2 linked regions of the Mus musculus genome follow. Each later gene encodes a partner of the first gene's protein in a complex. Links are inferred from orthologs where the notes say so. Each region holds a gene or a part of one and is shown on either strand. Other genes may lie near its edges.

The links.
Region 2: Ncoa6 (region 1) and Kdm6a share a complex: the UniProt entries of both Homo sapiens proteins name them as parts of the MLL2/3 complex. The link is inferred for Mus musculus from reciprocal best matches to the Homo sapiens genes NCOA6 and KDM6A.

Annotation. Positions count from the first base shown.
Region 1 is NC_000068.7:155,401,770-155,406,972, reverse strand, and holds part of Ncoa6 (nuclear receptor coactivator 6), read left to right. Parts: coding exon 1-1,498; intron 1,499-4,232; coding exon 4,233-4,301; intron 4,302-5,203. UniProt on the Homo sapiens protein: Nuclear receptor coactivator that directly binds nuclear receptors and stimulates the transcriptional activities in a hormone-dependent fashion. Coactivates expression in an agonist- and AF2-dependent manner.
Region 2 is NC_000086.7:18,160,383-18,166,385, forward strand, and holds the start of Kdm6a (lysine-specific demethylase 6A), read left to right. Parts: upstream 1-2,192; 5' UTR 2,193-2,623; coding exon 2,624-2,790; intron 2,791-3,001; coding exon 3,002-3,065; intron 3,066-6,003. UniProt on the Homo sapiens protein: Histone demethylase that specifically demethylates 'Lys-27' of histone H3, thereby playing a central role in histone code. Demethylates trimethylated and dimethylated but not monomethylated H3 'Lys-27'.

The DNA of each region.
Region 1 (5,203 bases):
TTGGATCCTAACAAACTCCCCAGTGTTGAAGAGAACAAAAATTTGATGTCTCCTGCCATGAGAGAAGCACCAACATCATTAAGCCAACTTCTTGACAACTCTGGAGCTCCTAATGTGACCATTAAACCCCCTGGGCTTACAGATCTGGAAGTAACACCTCCAGTAGTTTCAGGAGAGGACCTTAGAAAAGCATCTGTCATTCCCACACTGCAGGATCCGCCTTCTAAAGAACCCTCTACTTCTTTAAGCTCACCTCACAGTAGTGAGCCGTGCTCAACACTTGCGCGTTCAGAATTGAGTGAGGTCAGCTCTAACACTGCACCAAGCATCCCTCCAGTAATGTCAAGACCCGTCAGCTCTTCCTCCATTTCTACTCCCTTACCTCCAAACCAAATAACTGTATTTGTTACTTCCAACCCCATCACCACTTCATCTAACACATCAGCAGCCCTGCCAACTCACTTGCAGTCTGCATTGATGTCAACAGTCGTCACAATGCCCAACGTGGGTAACAAAGTTATGGTTTCTGAAGGACAGTCAGCTGCTCAGTCTAATGCCCGGCCTCAGTTCATTACACCTGTCTTTATCAACTCATCTTCAATAATTCAGGTTATGAAAGGATCACAGCCAAGCACAATTCCTGCAACCCCATTGACAACCAACAGTGGCCTGATGCCTCCCTCTGTCGCAGTTGTTGGACCTTTACACATACCTCAGAACATAAAATTTTCTTCAGCTCCTGTAACACCTAATGTCCCCTCCAGTAGTCCTGCTCCAAATATACAGACAGGTCGGCCATTGGTCCTTAGCTCACGAGCCACTCCTGTTCAGCTGCCTTCCCCTCCTTGTACATCCTCTCCAGTTGTCGCTCCTAATCCTTCTGTCCAGCAAGTAAAAGAATTAAATCCAGATGAGGCTAGTCCTCAGACGAACACCTCAGCAGACCAGAGCACTCTGCCTCCTTCACAGCCAACCACAGTAGTTTCTCCCCTTTTGACCAATAGTCCAGGCTCCTCTGCCAATCGTCGAAGCCCAGTCTCATCCAGTAAGGGCAAAGGAAAAGTGGACAAAATTGGCCAGATTTTGCTGACCAAGGCTTGTAAGAAAGTTACAGGCTCTCTGGAGAAAGGGGAAGAACAATATGGTGCAGATGGAGAGACTGAAGGCCCAGGGCTAGAGATCACAACTCCTGGGCTAATGGGAACAGAGCAGTGCTCCACAGAGCTGGACAGTAAAACCCCAACACCCTCAGCACCCACTCTACTAAAAATGACCTCTAGCCCCATGGGCCCAAGCTCCACCTCAACAGGACCCATCTTACCTGGCGGTGCTCTTCCCACCAGTGTACGCTCAATAGTAACCACATTGGTACCCTCTGAGCTCATCTCCACAGCGCCAACCACAAAAGGCAATCATGGTGGCGTAACATCTGAGCCACTTGCAGGTGGCCTAGTGGAGGAGAAGGTGGGATCCCATCCAGAGCTTCTACCCAGCATAGGTATGTACTTGAGCTTGGCATCAGCTCCTCATGTCAGGTTTTTGCTGGCCTGTCCCACAAGAGAGAAAGCACAGCCCTTTTCTACTTAAAAGAAGAAAAATGGCAGTTGTAGATTTACTTACTGAAAGTACATTGAAAAATATGCTTTTAAATGCCATGTTCAGTTTATATTCATTAACATGGTTCTTTCCTGGCTTCTGAACTGATTCATGTTTCATTTTCATGTGTATATATGTTCCTCAGTTTTAAAAAGCATTTTCATACATACTATCTCACATCATCTTTATACCAACCATTGATATAGTCTTATTCCTTCCTGTGGGTGAAAAGATTGAAGCTCAGAAATGTCTAATATTTGTTGAGCCTATACTCTTTTATGTCTCTGGCCTGGCATCATCCCTTGAGTGTGAACAACAACTTCTTTATGCCCCTCCCATTGTACTTCTTGCCTTGTTCTCACTGTATGCTAACTCAGGGGCCTTTCTGTTTGGACTGCTCCAGAAAAGCTTACCAGAAAACCAGATTTCATGATAAGCAAAGGAAGATCTGAGTGGGGAAAAGTCAGATAGACTTGCAGTATTTGCCAGCTCAATGGGCTGGGACAAGTCTCACTTCCTCCTTTGTAATGTGGAGACAGTCATAGTCACAAGATTTCAGTGAGGTAATGAATGCTTAGCACATGCTTAGCACAGAACCTAAAATACGGTAATATGGTTTAAGTGTTATTGCCTGTTTCCTTTGGACATGGCCTCTTAGTAAACTGCATTAGTGGACATCTAGTTCAAGTTATTTCTTGTGCACTAGGTCAGTGGTTAGTACTGGAAACAGGTGTCTTTATACCTCCTTTCTCCTGTATGGCTCAAGTAGTGCAGAAGCTCCACATACCTAGAGATAAGTTAGTCATAGCTAGGGGCCTCTGCAGTATCTAAGCCAGCTAATAATACCTCTTTTATTTATGCAGCTAAAATACTTTGAGTGCCTACCAATTAGGAGGAGGAGCAGAAAGGATACCAGCTTCAGGTTATGATCAGAGTTCAAATTTTAGCTCCACTGGTTGCCAGTTACAGTCTGGTGAGTTCCTCGTACTTCACCTGTAAAGTGGAGATTATAATTTTACCACCCAGGATATGTAGGATTCAGTGAGAGAACTTGAATATCAAGTGCCAGCTTACTGCCCCAGACATAGCTCTAGAAAGGTTCCGTCCCTTCTTTCTCCCTCTTACCTAAAGAGATACAAGAAGGGGTGAAGACCTGCAAAGAGTTCAATGTCCCTACGAGAGAGAGACTTTGCTGGGGACGGCTCTGTGTTTCAAGGTTGAATTTTGTTGATGTAGGTGACTATAAGAATTAAAAAGAAAGCTGAGCATGGTGGTGCACACATGCAGCACGTGGGAGAGGAGGTAAGATGGAGAGCAGAGCCACTCTCGGCTACAGACTTGAGTTTGAGGCCAAGCTAAGCTACATGAGACCTTGTGTAAACCAGAAGGAACTGGTGTGGCTTAAGTATGTTCTCTGATGCTTGATATTTCCATTTCTGTTTCCTTCTAGGGAACTTTTTCCTTTAATACTAAGAGAATAATGATGAAATAATTAGAAAATATTTTTATTTGAATCACAATTGATAGTAGAGAAACATAAGTTTTAGGGAGATGAACCAGCAATTAAGCTACTAAGCAGAGAGAAATCTACAAAATTCAGTTTCCATCAAAGGGTAAAACTTACTGTTGTAGTTTATCAAGAATTTTAAGCTATAGTGTTAAGATGGAAGGCATACCCTTGATAGCCCTGGCATACTTAAGCCTTAAGTCTTTACTGTACAGTCCATAAAGTTGTGTTCCAGAGTGTCTCGTGTGTTCTAGTTCTAGGGTCTAAGTCTGTTCTGTCTTTCAAAGACTCATGCTGACATTTCTACCTGAAATATTCCTTTACATTTTCAGCCTAGAGTATTCTTTTCCTTTGGACTCCCATGGCACTTTATATTTTATGTGTCTCTTTCCATATGACATCATAGTGGAGTACACTGTATGTATCTGTCTTACCTTTCATAATAGGGTGAGCTGCCTATAGAAAGTTCTTATAGCTATTTGTTAGAAAAGTAAATAATACTATATTGATTTATTTATTAAGTATATATTTATTGTCTGTTTTATGCCCATCACTCTTGCTAGTTGCTATAGAAAAGTACAGAATTGTGTGTTTTGGTAATCAAGGAGTGTGTGTAGAATCTCTGCTGGGGTTACATAATTTTTTTTTAAATGTTGAGATGAGTGGTATAGCCATTCTAAAAGAAGCTAGCTTGCTTACTAAGATATAGTTTTCAGCTTTTTAAGAAAACAGCCATTAGGCCTAGTGTGGTGGCACATGCTTATAATCCCAGCACTGTGGAGACTGGGGTGGGAGGATCAAGAGTTTCAGACCAGGCTGAGGAAACTGAGATAGACCCTGTCTGAAAACCACACGGAAACAAAAGAGTCAGAACCTGAAATTGGTCCTACAGTTGTGGCTGCAGTTGTTCTTGTGGCCATCTCCTTCCTGGCTCTTTCTAGTGTAAAGGGAGGAGCAGATCCTTGCTGCTGAAGGTTAGAGGAGTTGTTTTGTTAAGTACACATTGAAGATCAGCTTCAAGCCTGCAAGCATGGCCTTCTAAGAATATGCTGGTTTTGTTTCTAGTTTAGTTAGGGATTTAAAAAAATAAAAAAAAGTAAAAGACCTATTTGTTTGTTTCTTGCCTTAGCCCCTTCACAGAATTTAGCCCCAAAGGAAACTCCAGCCACAGCACTGCAAGGGTCTGTTGCTAGACCAGGTAAGGCACTGTTTAGAATATCTTGGAGTGGGATGGGTTACATTGAAGGAGGCAGTGCTGTTCTCATGAGTAAGAGTCTCGAACTGTCTTACCTACTTGTTTTCCAAGCCAGCTTCAATTGTGTGGCAGAACCTGTGTAGTACTCTGGTTACTTTTCTCAACCAGCTTGTTCATTTTCATATTTGTAGAGTTAGCAGAGAACTCAAGAAAGGTATCTCTGTGCTCATTGTCTGCAACCCTACCCTGAGTTGTTTTCCTTGTTCCATAATCCTGCTAGCCACAGCTGGCTGCTAAGTAGTTCGCATATGCTTGCTTACTGGGTGACAAGCATGAATGTACCAACTGTAGTTGGATTATCATGGTGGATGTAGAAGCATAGTCCAGCCCTTCTGCTTACAGTGAATCATCCTAGCCATTTATGCATGACTGAATTTCTCCCCTTGACCAAGATATTGTAAATAGCCCTAGTAAACAGCAGTAGCGATGGTGTTTCCAGAAGGAGAACTCAAGTATAATAGCTGCTGTAAGATGCTGAGTCAGCTCTAAACACACAAGTACCTTGATGGTAGTAAGAGCACTTCTGCCTTTGCAAAACAGACACCGCAGCCAATGAGTATCATAGACATTTTCATAGTTTTACTTGGTTCTTTGTCACAGAAGGTTGTTAAAAGTACAAAAAAGAAAGTATGACTGGTTCCCAAAGGAAGTTGGAATATCGTTGACGGTGTATGCTTGGGCTAATGACTCAGTAGGTAAAAGCACTTGCTGCTCTTTCAGAAGACCAGATCAGTTCCTGGCACCTACATCTGATGGTTCATAGGTGCCTATAACTCCAACTCCAGGGGATCTTGAGGATCTTGTGGCCTTCTCTTTGGACACTCTAATGCACATGGCACATCTCA
Region 2 (6,003 bases), on another chromosome or scaffold:
TTCCATTTTTGTATGTCATAAATTTAAAATTGCATTAATTTTGACAGTGACTGAGAAAGGCTCCATGCTTATTTCACATACATTTGACAGCTAAACTATGTAAATGCCAAAAAAATTACATAGACATGTAAGACTTATTTTATATGGACACTGCATGTTTGATGGAGGATAAATCCTTGTAGTTGGCCTGGTTTGGCCAGGCATGATTGTACGTGTCTATTATCCCAGAACTGAGGAGTCTGAGGCAGGAGAACACAGAGGCCAGCCTGGGCTACAGAGCAATACCCTGTTTCATAAAACCTGTGCCCCAATAAACTAGAATTACTCCACATCAAAAACAACAGCTTTGGTTTAGAGGTCACAGAGCTTGCACAAGGATCAGAACCCAGCTGTGCTAGCTAGACTCCAACCCCTCCCTATCACTTTATTTCTAAAACTCTAACCTTATTATTAAAGGGCAGGAAGGCACTCAGACATGGGTTGCTTATATCATTCTTGGAAAGGGACTAAATCAGGAACCAGTAACTTTGGGGACGTGGCCAAATACTGACAGGTTTGATTTCTGTTTGTGCAAGTGTCCATGTGGTAGTGGGGCCAAAAATCTCCCAGGTTTTGAAGGTCACCATTTGTGACATTTAACAATTCGTATGTTAATTTAGCTATAGAAAATATTCAGTCTCTGGTACTCACTCAGTCAAGTAAAATAGAACACCATAGAACATGTTTTGTAAAAGTGTAATTAAACACGAAATATAATCCATACAAAACTAGTTTATTCATCTAGTTACTAGTCTCCAGGCAACAATTTAAAGCTCTGTCTGTCTGCAAAATTAGTTGGGACTTTTATAGTCTCTCATTGAAGAACACAGCTAGGATTTACTGACTCAGCACTTATATATTCTGAAATCTAAATTTAAATATACCCTATTGATTACAGGTGTAAACTTATATAAAACATATAAAGCTTGGTTTATAAACGGATCTTTTCTTCATATAGTCCATTTACTAATATTTTCTATCCCAAAGACTGGAGGTGTGATGAGATACATCACATTATATCTGCCTTTTCAAAATAGTCGATGGAAAGTTTGGTCTATCTCCTGATTATACTATGGGTCAAACACCAGACTTATTTGTACCTGAGGGACAGAACAAGCAAATGTTACTGCTAAGGGTTTCCTATGTAGTGGAAGCAGAAAAAGGCTGGCAGGAAGCTGTGTTGAGGATTCTATTTCTCTAAGGCCAGTTCACATACAGCTCCTACTCTTCCATGGAGTACCCACTGAGATGACAGCAACAGAACCCAACATTCTGAAATCCCCCTCGACAAATTTCACTGTTTCTGTTTTTTTCTTTATAGTATAACGAATTACTGCTAGGGCGTAGGGTATATGCAAGCAGCAGGAATATCTGGCCCGAAAGTGCTGCCAACAGACAGACCTTTGGCGGTGGGGTGCGGGAGCCAGCGCGCCAGACCCCCTGCAGGCGACTGACTCTTCATTCCTCCCTGCCTGGGGTGAGTGGGCGGGGGTCGGGAGACGTTTTCCCCTTCCCCTTTTGAAAGGGTATGGGGCTTCGCGTGGCCTTGTCTAGGGCGGCGCCCAGGCTGCAGGGTATGAAGCCGGCTGCTGCTCCTCTGGCGCACTCCTCGTGGAGGCTATTATTTCTAGCAGTGCGCCTTCTTCCGAGGGCAGAGGTCTGGGGCCGAGTGTTCCCTCCCCGCGACTCAGCTGGTGTCCAGCCCTGTCGGGATCGATATTCCCGGAGTGCGCGAGCGCTAGCAGGACCACCGAAATCACAGTCTTGGCCCACCCTAGGGCTTCCGGGCAGCCAGAGGCTGTCCTAGGCTTTCTCGTTGGCGCTCGCTACAGGCGGTGCCGGACCTCGCCCAGACTGAGCACTCCCCTCCCCCCCCCGATCCCACCACGGCTCCCGAAGGGACACAGCCTGGACCCCTCCATTCTCTGCCTGTGTATTTAAGTAGCACAACCTAACCGGCTGCTCCCACTGGGTGACAACCCTACTCCGGACAGACGTGCCTATCAGCCAACCACCGACCAGAACTGGCGAGCATCCCGCTCTCGGATCTGTGGCGGCCTCGGTGGGCGGGGCTAAAGCAGCTAGCAAGTTAAGTGGAGCCACGACTGACGCGAGTCAACAAAGGTCACGTGAGGCGAGGGGCTGCTCTGGTTGGCTGCGCCGAGCGGGCTGTGAGGGGGGGGTCACGGCAGCGGCGTGGGGTTCGCTGTGTGACACAATTACAACAACTTTGTGCTGGTGCCGGGGAAGTTTGTGTCTCCTACGAATCCCCCCCAGAGCTCCCGCTCCTCGCGCGCTCCGGCCATTCCCGCCGACCCTGCCTGTGGCTGCCCCCTTCCCATCCCCGCGATGTGACCCTACAGCCGAGCCGTCGCCGCTCCGGACCCAGTGGTTCCACAGCCTCTGCTGCCTCTGCCTTCACCTCTACCGCGTTAGGATTTTTCGCTGCCGCCTCTCGCGGCAGAGGAGGAGGCAGAAATAAAGTTGGTGTGCCGGTCTTGTGCGGAGATTGGAGGCGTCCTTGCGGGCTCCGGCCCGGAGAGGGGGGGTGTCGGCGTTGGAGTTGTGAATTCGCTGCGTTTCCATGAAATCCTGCGGAGTGTCGCTCGCTACCGCCGCCGCCGCCGCCGCCGCCGCCGCTTTCGGTGATGAGGAAAAGAAAATGGCGGCGGGAAAAGCGAGCGGCGAGAGCGAGGAGGCGTCCCCCAGCCTGACAGCGGAGGAGAGGGAGGCGCTCGGCGGACTGGACAGGTACGGGGAGCGGGCACTCGCCCGGGCGGCTCGGGACAGGCTGGCGCCACTCTCCGAGGAGGCCGGAGCGCGGCTAGCCTGTGGCGGCCGTGGGGCGGGCACCTCGGCTTGGCGCTCTCGGCTCCGCTGACGCCCGGGCCTCGGGCTTTGGCACGGACGGGTCGGCGCCGATGCCGGGGCACTAACGAGCGGCGTGTGTCTTTCTCCGCAGCCGCCTTTTCGGGTTCGTGAGGTTTCATGAAGATGGCGCCAGGATGAAGGCCCTGCTGGGCAAGGTAAGGCAAACCGCGGGCCGGAGCGCGGACGCGGTCTCTCGAGCCAGAGGCGCGCTCGCCTGGGGCACCGGGGCCGGGTCACCACTCATTGTGGCCTCGAAAGACGGCCGAGGGGCTTCCGGAAAACTATTTCCTGCTACTGCGCTCCCCTCCACCCCCTGATACCTCGCTTGCTCTCTTGAGAGATCACTTCTCTTGGAGCCAGAGGACAGAGGCAGTGGCGCTTTTGGGGCCAAGCTCATGTGGGGCTTCCAAATTGACTACGATTTTACCGCCCTTGGAGGCTAGGCGGATGATCTCTGAGGTGCCTAGGGAGGGTCATGAGTTCGTAAACAGCTGTAGATTTCCTTAAATCCCCCGCTCGTTATCTTCCCTGGTTATTAAGGCTCTTTAGGCAGTCTGTTCCTGATGCCTGCTTTAGTCAAACATTTCGGGATGGCTTCTTGTCTCTGCTCCCTGAAGGGGGAAGTTGCACGTAGTTTAGGTCCGTAAAGAGTTTGCATGGGGTTATTGACTTGTATCATCATCGGTGTGTGCTTTACCTGAAGTTAGGTGATTTGTTTACTTTTTGGATCTTTCTGCCAAAGATCTACCACAGTTGTATGAGTGCGTTTTCTGGAGCTTGGTTTCCTGTGAGTCTGTCAGGAGCAGTTGGGGAGGATTCTGGGTGTAGTCTCTTGTTTATTTGTGTGCAAAGTTGTTGGTACTGTCATTTAGTTAAGTAATGGCTGCTTCTGTCCGCCCAAGATGGCGGGACAGGGTGGGAGGAGAAAGTGAGCCGGGGGAGGTTTGGGGGAGGGAGGAGAGGTAAACAGGGAAATAAATAGTATCAGAGAAGAATAGGCCTCTCCTTTGGAGTATGTAGCTCAGTAGTTAATAAAAATGATCACAGATTATTTGCATGTAGAATTTTTGTCCCCTTCTCTAGCTTTGAAATAGCGTGCATACGCCTGGTAAATGCTTATCAACCTGTAGCACATTTAGTTACCCATGGTAAGCTATTGAACAAAGGCTGGAGTCTCAGTCTGTCTACTTCAGTTTATATTTCCTGACCAAAGTGTGATTGGAATGGTAGGAGGAGGTTTTTTTGTTAGCTGGGACTCTCAAACTTGGAGTGTCTATGGTAGATGTTGCATTCATTAGACCTTTTCTTCTTTGCCGGAAATCTTTAGGTTTGATTTGATACTTTGTTAGCTCTATTGTTGCAATTGGGAAGTTTAAGAAAGGCGACTAAAGCTTAACGGCTTTAAAAAAAGTTGATTATTTTGCTCCTTACTTTTTGAATGTATTTTGGTTTGGCTGCCTTAATTGTTTTTATCTGTGATCATAATTACGTTTTTATTTTAAAGTATCAAAATATAAGAACTTGTGATTGCAGACAATGACTATAAGGCAAAACAGTCATAATCTTTTTCGGTAGGTCCATTTTCTTTGAATGGTAAGGAAATTTGAATTGAACTTTGACAGTGACGGTATTAATTTTCTTTCATTAAAATTAGCGCTGGAAAAATGTTCAGTAACTAGCTCTGGAATTATATAAATATAAATAGTTGTTAGCCCCCTCTTTTCAAGATTTTCCTCAACCTATTTGAAGTATTTTATGTACAAAGATTAGATTAATGTAAAGTTGTCATTCCAAAGATGTGTGTGTGTGTGTGTGTGTGTGTACACACACCTGTATATAGTGTTTAAATTTAAGGGCCATTTTATTTTGGAGTAAACATTGCTAGTTTAAATTGAGTTAATAGAGTTGCTTTCAGCGATAATTCATTTGGAAATTTAGGCTAAATTTATTCCTTTTGGTTACAGTGATGAAGAAATAAGTGGAATGTGTTTTAAGTGCATGTGTAAAGTGCTAGTTCTTACTTTCATATCTTAGAATGCTTGTTATCAGAATCACACATGGTTGTCCTTAACGTGGGATATTATATCATAAATAGTAAAACCTACAGTTAATATGAACTGAGTTCACATTTTAAAAATTGAGCATTTTCAAAATTTTCTAAATGTGTGTTATTTTATTTTTCTGGTATTTGAATACAGTCACATGTTAAGCATGAAAAAATATGTGAAGCTTCATTTTGTTTGGGGGAAGAATTATGACTTTATAAATCTCAGGTGGTATATTGATTAAAAAAAAATCTTCATTGATTCTGGCTTCTTAGGGTCTAGCTACTTAGATCAGGGCTCAACAGCTTTAATGCTAAAACATTCCATATTATGTACTTTGTACACCTACGTGGATCTTGATTGTGTCCTTATTAGCATGAACATTTCAGTAAAATGTGTAATATAAATTTATGCTTGATAAAATAACACCTCACATTTTCTATTTGAATTGAATTCGGACTAGAATGAGTGTTAAATTATTAAGTTTTATCCATCCTCTAACTGTCCTGAGAATCAGTATGTTTGAATGTGAGGTTTGGGAAGTAGATTGTTATGTTGCTTTCAGAATTATTTCCTATGTAACTCTTTTTAATAAAAAGTATTGGCTTTTCTCTATAGGGTGGTGGATTTGTTCAGGCAGTTTTACTGAACACAGAATAGAACATTTTCTAGAATTCTTTTTTTTTTTTTTTTTTTTTTTGGTTTTTTGAGACAGGATTTTTCTGTATAGCCCTGGCTGTCCTGGAACTCACTTTGTAGACCAGGCTGGCCTCGAACTCAGAAATCTGCCTGCCTCTGCCTCCCAAGTGCTGGGTTTAAAGCCATGCTCCACCACTGCCAGTCGTCTTTAAGGTTTTTAAGTGCACATTTATAAACAAGTCTAACATTTTAGAAAACTAAAACCATTCCATAGGTATTTTTTATTTGTCCTTTAACATGTGCAGATGATTTTTTTTTCTGGACTCTGCATACTTTTGTAAGGCTCGATTATGTAAGAGTTATTGAAAGGGTTGCTTGTAGAATTATCATTTGATATATAGTATAGTGT